Linked DNA regions of Oryzias latipes. Each later gene encodes a partner of the first gene's protein in a complex. Links are inferred from orthologs where the notes say so. Each region holds a gene or a part of one and is shown in the gene's direction. Other genes may lie near its edges.

Region 1 (5,836 bases):
CTATCCTGACTTCCAAGGCGCCCCTCTCTGATCTGTCCCGGCGGCGCTTTACCCAACGATGAGTGTTCCTCTAATGTCAGTCCAGCGCTTGCTTGTCCTGGAGCACTCCTCCGACCAGTCGCTCCTAGCATTTGGTTGTCTGGTGGCTTTTCCTCCAACTGCTCATCTTCCACTGCTCAGTATAGCTCTTCTCGGGCAACGGCTTGTGAAATAAGAACACGGTTCACCCTGTTACATGAAGTTCAGATACCTCTGTTGAAGAACCGAGTCTGTACAGTGCTGGTCCACCGATATTAATTGCAACCCTTTCGTACACATGCACACTGTCAGAGGGAGATGGTCACGTTGTTCCTTGTCTACCGCCCTCCAAAATGGTTAGGCTGGCTGGCGGCTGCTGCCAGGGCGTCCGTGGGGTTCCTGCGCCCCTAACCTTGCAGCACTTTTTCCGCGAGGCGAGTGAGTCCACAATATCTGAGTTGGGTGGACCATATCCCAGAGAAGATGGGTAAAGCTCCTTTTCTGGGCACACCGGGGCAACGCAATTTTTCCATCACTGCTCACAGCAACTGGAGCCTGATCCTGGCCCTATCTGGAGCCTTTGCTGGCCAACGGTGTCCACCTTCCTCGTTGGGCGGGCAGTTTTTGCCACTTCCCCCAGTTTGTCCACGGTGGGGCTGGCAGGCAAGCTGCTTGGGTGTGCAGTGCAGGCTGGGTATTGGTGGTCATGGCCTGCCTCTGGGTGCAGGGGCCCCCTCAGGACGTCTGGGCGATGGCATGTCTCTCATCTGGGCATCGGCATAGGTCTTGTGTGGTCGGAGGATTGGGTCTAGGTCTGTAGCACCTTGAGGTGGGGCAGGATCTCTACCCTGGCAGGGGCTCTGTGCGCTCTCTTTTCCTCCTACTTCTCTGCCACGGGGCTGCTGAGTACTGTCCTCCTGCTCCTTTTTTGTGGTGGAGTTCTAGTGCGCGTAAGGGTGGTTATGTAAGAACTAAGTCGGACAGTTTACTTATGACACTCTTTGTTATGTCTGTATTATTGACACTCCCCATCTCCCCCATCTTAAACCCCTATGCCCCATCTTTAACAACCCACTCTTCCCTTTTTTTTTTTCCATCCAGCTCAACAAGGAATGCATATCAAAATAATTATTATAAGTAAAGCTTAGCCTCAAATTACAAAAGGGGTTTATACAAATACACACTTTGTGTGTCAGAAGATACAAAAACCCTTATTATAACAGTAAAATCTGTCCAACGCAGGAGGCCGTATGGTTTTATTTGCTTGCTCTGCTGCTAAACAGGACAAGTAAAAAAAAAAAAAAAGTGGTTCAGATCTGGGTCATTGTTTAAGGTTTTCATTTCTTTCATGTTTTTCCAGGTCCTCTATACGTGATAGTGGAATATGCATCCAAGGGAAATTTGAGGGAATACCTGCGTGCTCGCCGCCCCCCTGGTATGGAGTACTGCTACAACCCAGACCAGGTTTCAGTGGAGACCATGTCCATCAAAGACCTGGTGTCTTGTGCTTACCAAGTGGCTCGAGGCATGGAGTACTTGGCCTCTAAAAAGGTAAAAACACCACGACCACTATTTTGCAGCTGTGCAAAGCACTCAAATCAAGTCCATTTAAAATGGGACGTTCGTTCAGACCTTTTTTTCCTCCAGTGCATTCACAGAGATCTTGCTGCTCGCAATGTTTTGGTAACTGAAGACAATGTGATGAAAATAGCTGACTTTGGCCTCGCCAGGGACATCCACCACATTGATTATTACAAGAAAACTACCAATGTGAGTAATTGATCTGATCAATAACATGAATTAAACTAAAAAGGGACTTACAAAAGGAACATGGAAATGTATTTAACAACACGTTTCTTTTTGTTTTTAGGGTCGTTTACCAGTCAAGTGGATGGCGCCTGAGGCACTATTTGATCGAATATACACGCATCAAAGTGATGTGTGAGTATCATGTTCCACTACCCTTTAAAACTGTTATATAACAAGGAAAAATCGATCTCTTCGGCCGCTCATGGTGCTACTCCTCTTCATTATTTGTTCAGATGGTCATTTGGAGTGCTGCTTTGGGAGATCTTCACCCTCGGAGGCTCTCCATACCCGGGTGTGCCAGTAGAGGAGCTGTTCAAGCTGCTGAAGGAAGGTCACCGCATGGACAAGCCTTCAACGTGCACTCATGAACTGTAAGGAGCCTTTGTATTTTCTGAACTCAGAGTTTATAAAACAGAATACTTTATTTATCCCAGAGGGAAGAAGCATTTTTAGCAGAGCTCCGATCACCAAATTTCAACATGCACAAACTAAGAAAAGACAAATGCAGTGTAATACACATTAGCAGTGTGTAAAATGAAATGTATAATGCTGTCAGGTGGTTTTATGAAGTTAGCAGGCTTTCATGAAAGTTATACAATTTTATTATCACAAGAAGGAAAGTCATTCTGTGGCGTTTGATCCTTGTTGAGAAACCTTTTAGTCTAGCTGTCCTTGTGCTCCTGTATTGGTCCAGGAGCTGGTGGAGGGGATGGGTGGAGTTATCCACAATGCTTTGCAGTTTTTAAAGCATTTTTTGCTCCATCACTGCCGTTCAGGAGTCCAACTTCACTCCCGCCACGTCCCCGGCCTTGCAGATTAGTTTATTCAGTCTGTTTGAGTCTGTAACCCTCTGTCTGCTGACCCAGCAAATTACAGAAATCCTTTACCGATCTCTGTTTTTGCCAAATCATAAATTGTCATTTTCATCACTGCTTTTTAGCAGATTTTGCCTGTTGGTTCAGTTTTCAGGATCATTAGTGTGTTAAAAAATGTAAGTAATGTTAAAAACCTAGTCACAAATCTTAGACTTGGTTAACAATATTTAACATTACTGTCTTAAAATGTGCTGCTCTTAATTTTTGAGTTTTGGAAATAACCAAATGATTTTGTTTTTAAAAGTCGAGTTTTTACCTTTCATGAAAAAAATCTTTTTCTGCAGGTACATGATGATGAGGGACTGCTGGCATGCAGTTCCCTCTCAAAGGCCCACCTTCAAACAGCTGGTGGAGGACCTGGATCGTTGTCTAGCTATGACATCCAACCAGGTCAGTCCCCCTCTAGAGTCTGTAAGTGCTGTCTGAAATCAAATGTTTCTGACCCCCCCCCCTGTGTACTTGCAGGAGTATTTAGAGCTCTCTGTTCCTTTGGACCAATATTCTCCCAGCTATCCTGACACCCGGAGCTCCACGTGCTCCTCTGGTGAAGACTCTGTGTTCTCTCACGATGCTGGAGCAGAGGAGCCCTGCCTGCCAAAGTTCCCTCCTCACTCCAATGGGGCAGCAATCAAAAAACGCTGATACCTCATCTTCCTTCAAACATTGACGTTCCCCCTACTCCCTGCCTCATGGGGTTGAATTTCTCCCCACGCTCCTAGAGATGAAGCGAAAGAACACTGGTGCTCTGTGAGAGAGGAACTTTGCGATACTGTGTGGAACTCAAGTCGCAGACTGCAGATGTGGACTATGTTTACGGGGCACTTTGTATTAGCAGGAGTAGATTCACTTTTCTCTATACCTCGATCATTCCAGTGTTTGGTCATGAGAGCTGACCAAATCACGTCCGTTTTTGTAATGTTTGTGTGTATGCATATGATTGTTTTCACCACCTGATGAGATTTGGTCCAATCCCAACACACTCCCAGCAGATGTGCAGCACCATGTTTATGCACATCTTTCTTAGTGTAAATACAGTTTAAAATATATATATAAATATTACTATATATTTCCAATACTCTTATTTTGTATTAACATAATGATTTTTTTGTGTTTTGTACAAGGATGCCATGGTTTCACCCTTTTTCTAATATAATTTTTAGGGGTGGTTGTTACACGAGGGTATTCTGAAGTTGCTGTGGTTGATATGGCCAGTATTTTTTGTCCGTATTGCAGCTGTGACTCTCCAAAATGAATCATATTATCATTAATAATGTATAATGGATTTTATATATATGTATACATATTTTTTCCAACTTTAACAAACCTGAAATTACGGCATAGCATTTCATGCAGGACCAATTTTTGAAAGTGTGGCGCTGTTTGTATGCCCGTGAGTGCAGGCTTCCAGAGAACTGGTGGTATCTTCCCTGATGGTCTCTACTGTAAATACTGCAGGTAATACGAGCTGTAATATGCTTCAGTTAATACCGCCATCTGTGTGACCTTCATAGGACTAAACTTCCACTGTAAATGTTTTGAGGGGAGTAAACGTTTGCTGCCGTGTGACTTCAGATGAAGAGTTGCAGCGCACGTATGTCATTGTAAAAAGGATTACATTCAATAAAATACTGATGATCAAGCAACTTAAGCTTTCTGAATTTGAACTCTATAAATACAAACATTTCCATGCCTGTATTGGAGGTAGGTTTATAGAAATGGCCACTTAAACCTCTTAATACAGTTGCAGGAATCTGATTGGATATGATAATATGCTGCTCACCTCAGAAGAGAAGTTGGCGAGTGCGCCAAGCCTCTACCGGCTGTAAACATGTAATTTATGACCGTATGAACAGCTTGGCAATTGCTGCTACGACACTCGTCCATCAGCTCCACCAACCTTGATGCCAGTCCCCATTCTGGCTTACTGCCACTTGTGGATATATCACCTGGATTGCCGTTTCCACGCAACAGGCGAAAATCAGCTTAAGTCACTCCTGACCCTTTAAATGAGAACCTTCTCTTATCGTCCTGCTGCTTTCAAAGCAGTCACCTGTGTTGCAATAAAAACTTTAGTTTCTAATGGACGACAGATTTATATCAACATCATTTTAAACTGTAAATCAAAATATGTAACGTGGATTTCTTTATCAGTCCCAGTCAGATTGGAGATCTTTAGATGGAGCAGGAATTGGTAATTTTGGGAGAAAATATCATTCACCCTTGGAAACGAGGTGCAATAAAGCATCGTCTGTGTGTTTTGATTGTTCAAGAATAGAAAGGGCATGCGAAGCCACACTTTAAAACCTGCTAATGGTGCACAGGTGCTATTAGTTTGACTTTTATCATTTCTGACAGATGGCACATGAAGAGTTTGACGGAACAAAGTTTATTGTCTGCGCTTTTGAGAGTATAAACCGTTAGCCTGTGCAAAGAGAAAAATGCTCTGTGGCGTTAAGACCACAAATGTTCACAGAATCCATTTCTGAAAGACGAGGAGTGTGCCATCTATGTGTTTTTAAATTCCATAAAGTAATCCAGTGTGCAACTAACAAATTCCTGCTATCACTAGAATTTTTGTTATTTTATCAGTTTAGCTGCAGCTTCAGAAACATTACACTTCAATAAACCTGGTACTCAATGTTTGATTTTTTTTTATAACAATCAAACGTTCTTTTTATTCCAAAAGAAAAGGAACCATAAAATAAGATATTCGTTTACAAGTTTTTGCTTATGATTTGTATGTTGTCAAGTAAAGCGGACAATGCTGTGGTTGGGATTAGATGACCTTTGCTAAGCCAAACTTCGAAAACGAAAACTAAACAGTATTGAAGAGATTGTAAGATGGGGAACTTCCTTGTTTTCAAATGTTTACATTTAAAGCACCAGAGCATCACATGGCTCAGATGTCACTTTTGCTGAAAACATTACAACATTTTCTAATGCTGGTGAAGTTCCTGTAAACATTAACCTGAAACTTTTGGATGATGGGCAAGGGATTGCAGACACTCTGGTGTCTGAGGAAGCCTTATTGCACAAGTCTGTTGTGAATATGCTTGCGTCTGGCAAAGCAAAGACTTTCCAAGAGTTTTCTAAGGGAGTTTTCTTGCCTTACATCATTAATCAGGCTACAGATG
Region 2 (5,058 bases), on another chromosome or scaffold:
ATATCTTGTACTTATAGTTAAGTTGGTCTCCACCAATCAGTCTTGGAGACTCAATCACACGTCATCAGTCTGACCAATCAGAAGTGGTTAAAGTCTTTACTTCCTTGTCCCGATTCTGCTCATAAAGTCTCTCAGTTCCAACAAAATACCAGCTAAAGCTCGTCTTTAGCGGTGTAGCTTTCCGCGGGATCCGGTATCAGACCGTGGAACAAGTGAACAAAACAATGAAGCTCAGAGAGGCTAGTCTTTCTGTGTTCGGCGGCTAATTGCACTACACCTCCCATGATGCATTGGGTTAGAGTGACAGCGTCTCAGCGTAAAATGAGTCTTCGTTGTTAAACGTCTTGAAACCAAAACGAACACACATCAAACAGTTTTTAAATTATTTAACTTAACTTTTATTACATCTTTTAGCAAAAAAAGCTTCAGCTTCCAGCTTTTTCTGCCACAATTATCACAAAAAATGCATGTGGGATTGCGGAGGAGCTGTAGATCAATACAGACAATGAGTTTCTCCTTTTTATTTTTATTTTTTTGGATGCTGGTGTGCCGTGGGATTTTTGTCAAGGTTAAAGTGTGCCGTGGTTTAAAAAAAAGTTGAAAAACACTGGCTTCCAGCCCTTCACACCTCCAAACTAATATTATTGGTGTAACAAAAATGGTGAGCAATGTTGGAGCTATCCAGCTGTACAGTTCTGAGCCAGATGCCAGTTTAGACAAGGAAAACAAAGACGTACATGGATCTATTTGTCTAGAAGTGGATGCAATGGAATGGAGCGGAGCAGGGATTTTGTGATCCGCCCAGTGTATTTTCTACATCACATTTAAGCTCTATTTCAATCATCTGCTCCTAATTCACTACAATTAGAATAAAGAAACACTCAGAAATGCAGTTTTAAGTTTTAATTTTCTTTATATATGTCCTTAATCATAAGAAAAATGCTATAAGGGCGTGTTAAAAAAACAATTTTTATTCTAGTGGGTCTTTAAAATGTCTTATTGTCATTGTTTGCACAATGAAAGTATCTTTCATCAAATCATCTGTTTTGTATTAGTGAAATGTAAAAAACAATTCTCCAGCTTGAGTCCTGATGATGCGCTTTGTGTCCACCAGCATCTCTGTAAAGGAACTGAAGTCTCTGCTTCCTGTGCTGAACTACAAGGCCCCCAGCTCTCGGACGTTCAAGGACAAACTGCTGGTACTTTTCCTACTTTCTCGGCTTTGAGACAGTTTTTAGAAACAGGCTGCTTTGCTTTGTGAATAACCACTTCAATAGAAGTCAAGCTGATGTGGTTCATTCTGCGTTTCTTGCTGCCCGCCCTTCTGTTCTGCTTTCACAGGAAGTGGGCATAAAGAAAGATCGTCTGGATTTTGAGCAGTTTCATAAGTTTTATAATCTGATCATGTTTGAACAGAATGAGGTGAGTGGTGACTACGTCCACAAAAGAAAGAAAGAAAAAACGTTCTAAAACTGAAGCCGTGGTGTCAAACATTAATGTAAAGAAGTCCAAAATAGTGGCAGCCTTATATTTTGTTTTACAATATGGAATAAACGTCTTGGCAGAGTGGAATATACAAAAATATATTTTGTGATGCTCTAACATAAAAAACAGTGTCAGTCAATTTAGATAGAGGTTGCAAAGTTGAGTTCATTAAACAAATAACTAAATAAATCAGTCTGCTTACATGTATTTTATTGTGAAGAGGCAGATATAACCCCAGAGGTTTACAGTTTTTTCAACCAAAAGGTCAGACCAACTTTCAAGCATGATGGTGGAGGGCTCATGGTTTGGGCTGTTTTGAAACCTCAGGACCGTACCCTCTTGCAGTAACCTTGATTTAAAAAAAGGCAATAGCATGCGAATAAACTGAAATGAAGATGTAACCCTGTGAAGGCCCTTAAAAAAATTGACACATAAAAAAAAAAAAATCAATTTTTTGGGATTAAGATGATTTTTAAGAGGAAATCCGCAAAACAATTAGCAATATAGTTTTATATGAGATATAGATATAATTGAACTTTATTTGTACAGCACTTTTCCTGCTATACAGATCTCAAAGTGCTTCCCATGGTTAAATAGATACTAGTAATATAAGTAACAATAGTAATATGTAGGTAGTAATGTTAGTTTAGATGTAAAAATATAGTTTAAGGTAAAAAGCACCTTATTTCCCAGCGTCTCAGAACTGATCCATCCATACAAAAGGTGTATCTGGATTAAAATGAATGAATAATTAAACATTTGAAAATTATCAAAACGTTTCCCGTCAAAACTGTTTTTGAGATTTCATGGAAGCAGACATTTTGAAATGAGGAAAAGGCCCTCTACTGCCCCTAGTGGAATGATAATCCACCATTATTCCACATGTACCAAGTTACAGGTTTTTAAGTAAAGTGTGTATCATGCTAATGAAGTAGGGCTCTCAGAAAATGCCTCTTTAAAATATAATACCAATGGTTTTATTGGTTTAAATACAAGCAACCCAAGATATAGTCAGACTGTCATAAAGGAGGCGATTGCTTCAGGTTATTGCTGCCAAAAGTGTCGAGTCATGGAGTATAATTTATTTTTTAGGAAAGGCTTTGGCCCAGTTTTCATTTAATAAATAACCTAATGGTTAAAAAGTAATGTTCTGTTGACAGTTGAACTTCTTATTTTAGACGTAGATTGTATTTTTTTTTTGTTAGTTTTCAGACGTGTCTTTAAGTTAGGCGTGCTTCCTTCCCCCTCACATTGTTTATTGATGTCTGTTTGTTTGTTTGTTTTAAAATCAGATTCTTGATGAGTTCAAAAGAGAAGCCTGTTCTTTTATTCTGGGGTGAGATGCAGTTTCTCTTTAGCGAGATTCCCCTGTTAGAAGCGGCCTGTTTAGATCCGTTTGTTTGTCTCTCCTGTCGTCCAGTAACACGGATAAACCGGACGCCTCTGCGGTGCTCCTGCACGATTTCCAGCGCTTCCTCATTTATGATCAAAAGGTAAAATTCAACTGGAATGCTATGAAAAGGTATAAAACGCAAAACAAGATATTACAAATTCTATTACATATGCTTTCAATAAAAAGATTTAAGAAACAAGCCAAACTGTTTTAAAGGCTGAAATGCAACATAAAACGAATCATTTGTTTATGGTCCTTGATAAAAGTGCACACACTTTAAACTATATTTAAGTTCTACACTTTCACAACTGACATATAGATTTCTTCAGAAAACTAAAATGAAGCGTTGTTAAATCACACTTGATATTTTTATTCTTTTTTTTTTTTCATTTACCTATTGTTTTTTTTTGGGACTTTTAGATGTTTTCTAGTTTAAAAAGTTTAAGATTTAAAATAAAGTGCTAAAAATATTTACAGTCAGATAATATTGCACCCAAAAAGTTTCTTAAAAGTTAAGAAATGTATCCAAGCTCTGCCCTCTTTATTTTGTCTGTTGTTTAAAAATGATGGACCAAAACATGAAGTCTGCTCCACAGGACTTATGAGTAATGAATAATGTTTTAAAGATTGTGTTTTTGGTGTTTTGTCATGTTGTTGTGGCATTTTTCTCACGATGGAGGACATATACAAAAGAAGATTTAAATTTAAATCGCAGTTCTGAGTATTTCTTTATTCAAATTGTTGTGAATCAGGAGCACATGAAATAACATTTCCCAGAACTCCTGCCGCTCTGCAGAAACTATGTCCTAGAAAATGAAATTTGGCACAAAAACAAAACACCGTAATTATGAATAAAAGACCACAGGGGGCGCTTTAAAAATAGATCATAAGATGATTGGAGTGCGTCATTAAATGATTTATGTTACCAAATAGTCACATTTATGCCGTGTTAACACAATTCTTGGGTAATTTCAAGTGTTTTGGGGATTATTTGTTAAATTTTTTGTGCTGTTTTGAAGGATAATCTTGTGTTTCTGCTACGGTTTATCTCAAAGCAACAAAACGACAAAAACATTTCAGCCTTTAAATGTCTAAAGTCATTATCAGGGACAAGCTTCTTTACAGGCCTGTTTTCATTAAAAAAATGAACTAAAATAAGCTTTTTCTTTCCTTTTTTAGGAAAGCTGGGCCAACAATCTGAACCAAGTCAGAGAGCTGATGACCACATTTATCGACGACACCATGAGAAGAACCAACGATCCAGAGTTCACCGTCAGTGAGGTACACTCAGAACGTTCCTGTGCAGGTTTTGCCTGCCGTTGAATAAACCTTCGTCTACTTTGGCTTCTGTGGGCTTCAGAAGCCTCTGAACCTGCTGGGACTGAGGTTGTTTTAACAGTAGATTGATTACCAAAGAGAAGAAGTCAAACGGGGACCTCCGAGCCTGAAGTGACTCACCTGATGCACAAGCTGAGGCCTTTTTTCCGCTTTCAGTTCCTCGGGTTCCTGTTTTCCAAGGAGAATGCCGTGTGGGATGAGAAGTACTCCGAGATCAACAACCTGAACATGAACAATCCTTTATCACATTACTGGATCAACTCCTCACACAACACGTGAGTTCTGCTCCACGAAATAACCACACATGCCTGAGCTGCGCTCTCCATTATTTTCAGTATTTAAAAAGTGGTTTTCCTGCCTTTCTGATCATTCTCTGCTTGTCTCATATTCTTGCTTTACACTTTGTTTTTGTTCAAATCCCAATTTTATTGAAATTGTTTGTCACAATGACCTCTAATTTGTCTTTTTTTGTTCAGTTCTGTGTATCTGTCTGGCTCCCTAAAGGATAATATCTTATTTTAATGTTTCAAAGTCATACTTTAGTATTAGGTGCGTCGATCAGCATTATTTATTTCCCTGCAATAATTTTCATTTGTTTTACTTCTTTTTTTTAAATGTATTCTTAATTTCTATAGATTTTTAAATCTTATAGACAGAAAAAAAATCCTAAAATGTCCTAAATGTATACATAATATATTTAATCTATTAGAATTGTGAAAGAAATGTAAAAAATACTTGCTTTAAATGTATAAATGTTATTTTAAGAGTGATCTATTTTTCAATCTTAAGACAGACTTTCTTTTTTCTTAATTGGTTTTACTTTTCATTCTGTTTTATATATT
Region 3 (3,656 bases), on another chromosome or scaffold:
TCTTTTTTATTCAATCTTTCCAGGTGTGATTTTACTTAAGTCTGAAACGAGGGATCGAGTCGCCATCCTTGGAGTCAAGAGTAACCGTTACCTGTGTATGGATCTGGAGGGTAATCCATTCAGCTCGGTGAGCATACAGTTCATCCTTTTCATTTTATTAGTCAATGCCGACTAAATCTTGATCTTTGATCGTCTTTTCTTTTATTATTATTTAACTCCATGAAGTTTTACGCACCCCCTCACACAATTCTTCTCAACAGGGCCTGTAGACTTAAAAGATTGATCCAAAATAGGTATTATTGATCATCCGAGCAGCTTCTTCAGAACATGTCTGAACTGTTAAACCGTGCGTGAAAACGCACTATTTTTACGCACAAACGCAGCATCGGGTCCTTTAAAAAATCCGGTTTAATTGTCTGACTACCTGCTTTCTGCCTTAAAGTAGTTAATATAACGATTTGGTCGGATCTCTGCCACATTTGCAGAGTTTATGAACTTAAAAATCACAAAAAGTCTGTTTGTTTAAAATACCCGACGCAAAAAAAAACATGAAAAATGTTTTGAATGCACCAAATAAGACGAATACAAACAATTTAAATAACTTTACATTTTTGTTTAAAGTTTTTTTTTTTTAACCAAAAACAGTTTTTCCATGCGTAAAATTCTTTTCATGAATGGAAAATGTACTATAGATAAACATGAATTTATTTTTTAATTCGAATGCACTGAATCCAATGAAATTCCTCTCCGTTCCCCCCTTTTTTAGCCTATTTGCCTCAGAGAGGAGTGCCTCTTCAATCACAAACTCCTGGAAAACAACCGAGACGTGTACTACTCCACTCGGACCAGCATCTTGTTCAACCTGGAGGGGTCCAAACAGGTGTACATCGCAGGTCAGAACGTGCCGCAGACCTCCCTGTTCCTACCCAAGAAGAACACGGTGCCGCTGGAGCGCCTCATCCCGCACAGGGAGAAGAGGAAACGGATCGTGGATCCCTCGGACCCGCACGGAGTCTACCACAGACCGGCGGAGGAGGGCTCCGACTCTCGGGCTGTGGCGGAGCAGGACGACGCCGACGTGGAGGTGGAGACAGAGATGGAGATGGAGGTCGGTGATGACGGACGCAACTTATCCCGGGAGAGACCGCTGGTTCCGTTCAATGACGACCCCTGGAACGTGAATTCGTTCAGACAGTCCAGCCCCCGAGGCACCGGAACAATGGGCTAAGCCGGTGAAACATTCAAATATAAAGCAAGCTTTATTTTGAAAAACTGGCATGAGAGTAACACTTCTGTTGCTTTGCTTTCACACTGACTTTGCATAGTTTAGTTAGTGCTAAATCTTTCTGCAGTGTGTTTTTACACTGAATGAACATTTTTAGACTTGACTTGATACCTTTTGCACAATTCTTGAAAACTCTTATTTCCAAAAACTTAATTCCTTTTTACAGAGCCCTGGACAGGACTTTACAAAAAAAAAAGACAAAGAAAAAATTTGCATTTCTTCTGGCCCCCATTAGTATTTTGTAAGCATATGTTAGTTTTTTTTTGGCCACAAATTAGTATTTAGGGGTTTCAAATGAGAAATAAAGATACTAAAATACTATTTTGTGTGCCCAAATTACTTATTTGTGCACAGAAATTAGCATTTTGTGCAAGGAAATTAGTATCTGTGGGTGCAAATTAGTGGTAGGAATGGAAGATACTTAAAATGCTTATTTGTGCCCATAAATGTACACACAAAATGCCAATATGAGTCCTCAAAATGCTAATAAAATGATACTTTTGTCATGTCCAGGGCTCCTTACCTTCCCATCTTCTTCTAGTTTCCACAACTTCCTAAGAATTTCTGCTCTTTAAATGTCAAGATGGTTAAGATACATTTATTTTCCCCCCACAAATTTAGCTGATATCCTCTGCAACTCAACCCATATTTTTATGAATTTGTGTTATATCCTGTTTATTTACATTGTTCAAATGTTTTATACAATCTTAGGAACCCATATTCATGTCGTCTAATGACAAACCAAATTTAGTCTACCTCTGGAGGACTGAAGGGTTTGACCGCTGAACTGAAACCAGCAGGCATGAACAAATATGAGACTATTAAAAAATGCAATAGGATTAGCCTTCATTTTAGCCTTCTTTAAGTATTTCAGCAGTTTGCTTTATTAATTATGAAGAAAGTCGTCTTATAACAACATCTGAATTTTCCCACCAGTAGGATGGAACTCATAACTTGAAAGAAAAGGACAAACAGGGTCAAAAAATAAATGTTAATTTTGTAGGTGACTGAGTTGTTCTCATCAACAGCAAACACACAGCAGTCCCTAAAAGTATTTATTTATTGAAATATTTTCCTTTCACTGTTTATTTATAGTATTTATGGTAATGTTGGAGTTGTACATACAGAAAAAAAAGATTTGCTTTGAATGTATGAGCTGGAATTTAATTTAGAAAGAGTTTTGCTTGAATTTGGGACCAAATAAAGTTTAAAAAAGTCATTTGTTTTGGATTTTCTTGTGTTTTTTATGCTTCAAACAATCTTTATCTTCATCGTTCATAATAACTGAAGATACTACATGTAGGAGCTAAAATGTTTTGGCTGTTTTTGTCGCTCTTGTCCACCTTTTTCTCATTGTAAATCAAGCTTATTACATCATACAAAGAAAACTTTTTTCTCCCACTGCTATTTTTTATAGAAATGCAAAACAAAAAGCATAGACTGCAATATCTTTTGGTGATAGAAGCGCATCAGATGCAAAAATAAACCCATTGGCTTTTAAGGAGGCTTAGAGGTCCATCCATTTTCCTAACCTGCTGTATTCCTTTTAGGGATTTAGGTGTTTTTAATGTTCTTGTGGCATTTTTCTTATGATGGAGTTCACATATAAGGCAAATTAGACTGAAAAATCCATTTCTGGGTACCTCTTTACTCAAATTGTAGGGAATCAGGAGCAGATTAAAAGATATAAATAAAAAATGGAGCTTTTTGTGAGCGGGCCACAATCTTCCTGTGCCGCTCCATTCCGATGCATCCACTTTAGAAGGCGACGAGATACATGTACGTCTTTGTCCCCCCTGCAAATCAGAAGGGAATTTCTAATGAACTACTGCCGCTCTGCAGAAACTATGTCCTAGAAAACAACACCGTATTCTAGATTTTGGCTAAAAACAGGATCATCACAGTTGAAAAAACCCAGCTTTTTGAGCTCTCTTTTGAGCAGACGCAGAAGAAGCAGTAGCGGCAAGTGAGCAGAATGAGGGTGCTGTTGGTTTGTCTGCTTGTTGGAACTGTTACCTGCGTTCCTCAAGGAGGTGGAGCTTATCAGCCCAGAGGGTATCCTCCATTCTCTGGACAACTTCAGTCTGAGCCAGTCTATGAAAGGCCTTCCGGACAGTCGGGTATAGTGGCACTCCGGGATGTTTTACCAGTGGAACCTACACTACAGGAGGCAGTGGAAGTCCTCCCATGTGCTACTCTGCTTCATATCCTGAACAAGATTTAAAAAGGCATTCAAGATTTTGAATGCCTTTTAAAAAGATCAAAAGATGATTGGAGCGGGACGTTAAACAGGAAAGTCGCTTCTACACCACAGTTAAGTGACAAACATACACAGATGACTGTTTTTATTTCCATTTTTAATCAATGAAAG
Region 4 (4,793 bases), on another chromosome or scaffold:
TCAACAGAACAAAAAAGTATCAAATTTGTCTGTGAGTAATGTTAGATAAGTTGGGTCATTGTTTTATTTTATCATTTTACTCTGGGTCATGCATGGCTCTACAGTCTGATGAAAATATGCACAAGAACAGCCGTTTCCTTCACAAATACATTTTTGTGTAGACACCCCCTGGTGTCTGGGGTCAATGAAGCTCTGAACAGTAACCTGCTGTGCATGTGATGGCCTGATGGGGTAATTAAAACTTTTTCATGTCTTCTGATTGGAGGAAAATCATACGATCCTATCACTGTTTTGTGTCTCCAGCTCTGGGTTACTCTGTACCCACCGTGCCCAACGGGGTAGGTAGGCTGCCCTCTGTGGGGGAGGCCTCATCCCACCCCTCCACCCGACACCCGTCTGTGGCCAGCACCCGCCTGCCATCTGTGGGGGAGGAGTCCACCCACCCACTGCTGGTTGCCGATGAAGGGGTAAGCTCTGTCTGATCATGTTGGGGTTACATTATGGAAAGGAGGATAATGAATAATGACAATGGTGGTTGTGGTGATGATAAAGATTACAGTGGAGAAAATAAGTACTTGATCCCTTGTTGATTTTGCAGGTTTGCCCGCTTAAAGAGAAACTGACAGTCTGTCATCCTAGAGGTCGGTTCATTTGTACAGTCAGCGATTAACAAAGAAAATCAAGAAATCTAATTTAAAGAGTGCATTTACATTTATTTGCATTTCATTGAGGCAAATAAGTATTTGATCCCCCAGTAACCATAAAGAGTTCTGGTTCACACAGACCAGTTAGACTCTCCTATTCAACTTGTTACCTAAACGGAAGACCCCTGTTTGAACTATTCACCCGTCCACAGAATCAGTCAGACTCCAAACTCTCCAACATGAGGAGCTTTTAGTGGGTTTAGAGGGAGAAGGTTGTAGACCTGCACCAGACTGAATGGTCTACAAAACCATCAGCAAGAAGCTGGGGGTTAAGATGACAACTGTTGCTGCCGCATGACCTGCTGTGATGTCCATGATCATGACTACAGAGAGTAATCGGACTAAAACAACGCAGCAGGAGTCAGTTGATGAAAGCACAGTCACCAAGAAAACCATTGGTAATACTTTACACTGCAATGGTTCTTGCAGAGCTCGCTAAGTAGTTGTGCTTAAGAAGAATGTCCAGACTGCCTGAAGTTCAACAATGAACACCTTCAGGATTTAGAGAGCGATTGGGAGAAGGTGATGTCAGATGAGACCAACACGCACCCGTCATGTTTGGAGGAAATCTTCCAATAACCTCAAGAACACTGTCTCCTTTGTCAAGCATGGAGGTGGAAACATGCTTTGGGGGTGTTTTTCTGCACGGGGCTACTGCACTGTGTGGATAGGAGGATGGATGGAGCCGTGAACCATCAAATCCTGAGTGAGAACCTCCTTCCCTCCACCAGGAGGATTAAAATGGGCCATTGATGTAATGAGCCAAAACATACAACCCAAAAACCCAAGGAACAGTTAGAGAAGAACCATATCACATTCATGGATAGCCCAGCCAGTCTGTGGACCTCTTATAGAAAGAGAGCTGAAGCTCAGAGTTGCTAGGCAACAGCCACCAAATCTGAATGATTTAGAGATCACTTGTAAAGAAAAGGGTTTGACCACAAAATACTAAATCCTTCCAGGAAGAGGGTTCAAATACTTATTTCCTTCAATGAAATGGATTTAAATCTATATAAATTCTTTAGTCAATGTCTTGATTTTCTTTCTGATTTTCTATGAACCGACCATTAGGACAACAGACTGTCATTTTTTTTTGTTTAGGTGTGCTAAATTCATGCAAAGGATCAAATACTTATGTTCCACGTTGTATGACTGACAAAGGTTCTCATACATGATGTTTCCAGTCGGTGAGGGTGAACCTCTTTGTGTTAAAACTCAGTTTCCCATGATCCTGTGTAACAGCCAGCAGGTCCAGCTCACTGATCAGAAAACACTACAATCCTGTGATTTCAGGAAACACAAGAGCTCAAAGATCAAACAGGTTTTCATGAGAGCAGTGGAGATGTACGCTGATGTCCCTCTTAAAGACCTACAAAATAAAAGCATCCGTGTTTTTTACAAGTCTAGCAAAGGAAAATCTATATGAGAGCGGTGAAATGTAGACGACGCTAAAGGGAGAAAGCCAGAGCGGCACCGCAGAGTGTGAAGGTCCAAGTCCTCGTCTGATAGGAGGCAGACCTGTGGGAGGGTCTTTTCAATTGCTGATGCGTTCGGGGAGTTTCCCCCCACCCCCATGACTGTCTGTGGGTATTTGATGATGACTAGAAGCTGGTTGTGTGTCTGCAGGTGCATACGTACGTCAACACCACGGGGCTCTTGGATGAACAGCCCAGTCCTCTCACCCTCACCACCCCCCTGGAGAGCCCCACCTCTCCACAGTCCCAGTGTCCTCCCACACCCCCCCCTCCGCCCAGGACTCGCACGGAGACGTCGGAGGCGCTCCCCCCGCCCGAGCCCCAGGTACTCCTGGAGCCTCAGGGGGTGCGCTTTGTGCTTGGCCCCACCCCCGTTCAGAGGCAGCTGATGGAGCAGGAGAGGAGGCGACAAGAGTCGAAGGAGGCCGAGGAGCCCCGAGAGACTGAAGGATCGGCGGATGCGGAGCCCGCTCCACCACACTCCAACGGCTCCACCTCCAACGTAGCGGTGGCGTCCCGCCGCCATCGGCCCCCCCCACTCACCCCTGACCTGCAGAATGTCAACAACTCCGCCCAACGGCGCACTGTCCTGCTGGACTACGAAAACCTGCCGGCGCTGCCTCCCGTCTGGGAGACAAGGAAACCAAGCGCAGAGGAAGAGGAGGAGCACGCCGGGCTCAAGACGCCGTCGCTCAACGGCTACAACCACCACCACCACCCCCACAGCCTGCTGCATCACTCCTACTCCCACCCGCTGTCCGCCACTTTTGAGCCTTCGCACAACTACGTCAACACAGAGAACGTGACGGCTCCACTCAGCGCGCACCGCCCAGAAACGGCCCGCCGCCGCTCTGATGGACCCACCATCTTCAACTTTGACTTCCGCCGGCCGCCGCTGCCAGGCCACTTGGAGCCCCCCAAGACCCTAAACTACATCGAGGTGGAGATGGAAAGTTGCGGGAACAGAGGCGCCTCAGATGGGAGCAACCCCCATACGCCCCGCACCCCTACCTCCCCGCTGCCCCCCACCACGCCCACTCGCCGCACTGAGCAGTACACTCTGATTGACATTGAGCGCACTGCCGCCATGTCTAGCCTGCAGAAGGCGCGGCCACGCGACGATGGAACGTCGCGCAAGACCAGGCACAACAGCACAGAACTGCCCACCAAGAGCACGGCGTGACTTGCTGCTGCCACCGTGAACGGCGGGAGGATGGGTGGATGGTCAGTAGACGGGACTCGGTGCACACTTGCCCGTGCACACATGCACGGCAGATGAACTCTCTGGCGTGACACCTGCGAGAACTATGATGTCACAGACTGCATTCCTTATATGGTACACATCAGTATTACTGAGCAGCATTCCATTAGCCTTTTTGTACGAGTCACTCCGCTGCGGCGAGACGACGCTCTGCTTCAGTAGATCTGACGCAATAAAGTCTGGGTTCTTTGTACCAGCGACGGCGCCTCCTGTCCTCCCTCCCCTGTAATGGCCGTGACATGAAGTACAGATGGTTCAGCAGTAGGAAAGCAGGTCTAGGACAGGTAATACCGACTGCTCAGTGCGACGTTACCTGTCCTAGAGCTGTTAGTGAGCAGGTCTACGTGCATCTAGCTAACAGTTTGATAACCGTGTGAACAGAAAGCTGGTGGAGCCAAAGTCCTCCGGCACTTGCAGCTTTTTCTCCAGGTGGAACCACAACAACTTCTTGGTTTGACTCTGTCGGGTTTTGGGAATTGCCTTCAGTTCTTATTGTCTGACCCAAACCCCAGTCTTTTTACTATAGCAGAGCTCAGCAGGCCCAGTAGTTCCAGTCATGTGACCTGCGAGCTGCTGGAGGGCAGCTCAACATGAGGGCGCCATTCAGACTGTGTGTAGCTATGCAGCAATATGAGGAGAAGCTTCTGCGTTTAAATTCACCAAATTTTATCTTTACGAAGTGCTGAAAAAACTAAAAAGGCAGCTGGTCTATTTAACCCTTGTGCTATCTTAGATGGGGGTCACCTAAGACAGCACAAGGGTTTAACAAAGCATCAGTTCAGACAAAACTTCTCCCTTTTTCTCCCAGATTTTTTTTCCAGTTGATGAAGCTAATGTTTATTTCTAAAAGACAATGTCTTAATATTCTCTCCTTAAATTGTCTTCTGCTGCATCCCAGTCTTCATAGTCATCAAATTCACCTAACAGGAAACTATAAATCCCGTTTTCTACTTTACTGCTGTTGTGACAAACTGTAGACGTCTGTCCACCTATGTTCCAAGATTTTGTTGTTCCGGTTTCCAAGTGGTGTTTGGGCCGGCGTAATGATATGGAACATTCAGCCTATGTGACTGGAATTTCTTTTTTAGCTGTTCATTATCAATTTTGAATGGACACCGTGCAGCCAATCAGGACTGAGTATTCACTCAGACCATGGTATAAAAACATTTAATACATATTGATGTGCACTATGATTGCAACAACGTCCTTGAAAGCAGCAACAGTTTCTAACTAGCGTTGAGTCGTGTCAGAGAGGTTTTGCAGTATTTTTTTTCTCTCTAAGAAGAACTGGTTGTTCCTCACTAACCCTTCAGAAAGTCACTGTCCTGCTAACAAATGCACAATGAACATCCC

What was found.
Region 2: the proteins of fgfr1 (region 1) and plcg2 are in contact, whole or in part, in a cryo-EM structure (PDB 8JQI), measured with the Homo sapiens proteins. The link is inferred for Oryzias latipes from reciprocal best matches to the Homo sapiens genes FGFR1 and PLCG2. Residues at the interface, in NP_075598.2 of Homo sapiens: Lys504, Asn506, His541, Lys542, Lys598, Ser602, Tyr605, Gln606, Arg609, Glu612, Tyr613, Ser616, Lys617, Lys748, Asp755, Arg756, Val758, Ser762, Gln764, Glu765, Tyr766, Leu767, Asp768, Leu769; in NP_001412678.1 of Homo sapiens: Phe528, Arg540, Thr568, Phe569, Pro570, Asn571, Phe577, His585, Cys586, Arg587, Arg589, Ser590, Thr591, Met592, Gly595, Leu601, Thr602, Asn604, Leu622, Arg623, Cys624, Ala625, Glu626, Phe627, Glu738.
Region 3: the proteins of fgfr1 (region 1) and fgf23 are in contact, whole or in part, in a cryo-EM structure (PDB 7YSH), measured with the Homo sapiens proteins. The link is inferred for Oryzias latipes from reciprocal best matches to the Homo sapiens genes FGFR1 and FGF23. Residues at the interface, in NP_075598.2 of Homo sapiens: Glu159, Lys160, Glu162, Lys163, Lys164, Leu165, His166, Ala167, Val168, Pro169, Lys172, Gln244, Asp246, Val248, Glu249, Arg250, Ser251, Pro252, Val279, Tyr280, Ser281, Asp282, Pro283, Gln284, Pro285, His286, Ile287, Ala314, Gly315, Val316; in NP_065689.1 of Homo sapiens: Leu31, Leu32, Gly33, Ser34, Trp36, Gly37, Tyr43, Ala45, Thr46, Ala47, Arg48, Asn49, Ser50, His52, His66, Ile75, Arg76, Ser77, Glu78, Asp79, Ala80, Gly81, Val83, Val84, Tyr93, Phe108, His117, Gln118, Thr119, Asn122.
Region 4: the proteins of fgfr1 (region 1) and frs2 are in contact, whole or in part, in an NMR structure (PDB 1XR0), measured with the Homo sapiens proteins. The link is inferred for Oryzias latipes from reciprocal best matches to the Homo sapiens genes FGFR1 and FRS2. Residues at the interface, in NP_075598.2 of Homo sapiens: His409, Ser410, Gln411, Met412, Ala413, Val414, His415, Lys416, Leu417, Ala418, Lys419, Ser420, Ile421, Pro422, Leu423, Arg424, Arg425, Gln426, Val427, Thr428, Val429, Ser430; in NP_001036020.1 of Homo sapiens: Asn25, Val26, Asp27, Asp28, Leu33, Leu47, Thr49, Arg50, Asp53, Ser54, Val55, Trp57, Leu60, Cys61, Leu62, Arg63, Arg64, Tyr65, Gly66, Tyr67, Asp68, Ser69, Leu71, Ser73, Phe74, Gln81, Thr82, Ile86, Phe87, Ala88.

The regions. Positions count from the first base shown.
Region 1 is NC_019867.2:20,588,543-20,594,378, reverse strand, and holds the end of fgfr1 (fibroblast growth factor receptor 1 precursor), read left to right. Parts: intron 1-1,378; coding exon 1,379-1,569; intron 1,570-1,665; coding exon 1,666-1,788; intron 1,789-1,888; coding exon 1,889-1,959; intron 1,960-2,060; coding exon 2,061-2,198; intron 2,199-2,986; coding exon 2,987-3,092; intron 3,093-3,167; coding exon 3,168-3,344; 3' UTR 3,345-4,345; downstream 4,346-5,836. UniProt on the Homo sapiens protein: Tyrosine-protein kinase that acts as a cell-surface receptor for fibroblast growth factors and plays an essential role in the regulation of embryonic development, cell proliferation, differentiation and migration.
Region 2 is NC_019864.2:27,982,079-27,987,136, reverse strand, and holds part of plcg2 (1-phosphatidylinositol 4,5-bisphosphate phosphodiesterase gamma-2), read left to right. Parts: intron 1-1,114; coding exon 1,115-1,199; intron 1,200-1,341; coding exon 1,342-1,422; intron 1,423-2,777; coding exon 2,778-2,821; intron 2,822-2,905; coding exon 2,906-2,978; intron 2,979-4,057; coding exon 4,058-4,159; intron 4,160-4,372; coding exon 4,373-4,491; intron 4,492-5,058. UniProt on the Homo sapiens protein: The production of the second messenger molecules diacylglycerol (DAG) and inositol 1,4,5-trisphosphate (IP3) is mediated by activated phosphatidylinositol-specific phospholipase C enzymes. It is a crucial enzyme in transmembrane signaling.
Region 3 is NC_019881.2:17,687,971-17,691,626, forward strand, and holds the end of fgf23 (fibroblast growth factor 23), read left to right. Parts: coding exon 1-127; intron 128-766; coding exon 767-1,228; 3' UTR 1,229-2,503; downstream 2,504-3,656. Other genes in the region: fructose-2,6-bisphosphatase TIGAR B, read right to left, coding at 2,755-3,081. UniProt on the Homo sapiens protein: Regulator of phosphate homeostasis. Inhibits renal tubular phosphate transport by reducing SLC34A1 levels. Up-regulates EGR1 expression in the presence of KL. Acts directly on the parathyroid to decrease PTH secretion. Regulator of vitamin-D metabolism.
Region 4 is NC_019864.2:4,354,956-4,359,748, reverse strand, and holds the end of frs2 (fibroblast growth factor receptor substrate 2), read left to right. Parts: intron 1-303; coding exon 304-467; intron 468-2,330; coding exon 2,331-3,362; 3' UTR 3,363-3,640; downstream 3,641-4,793. UniProt on the Homo sapiens protein: Adapter protein that links activated FGR and NGF receptors to downstream signaling pathways.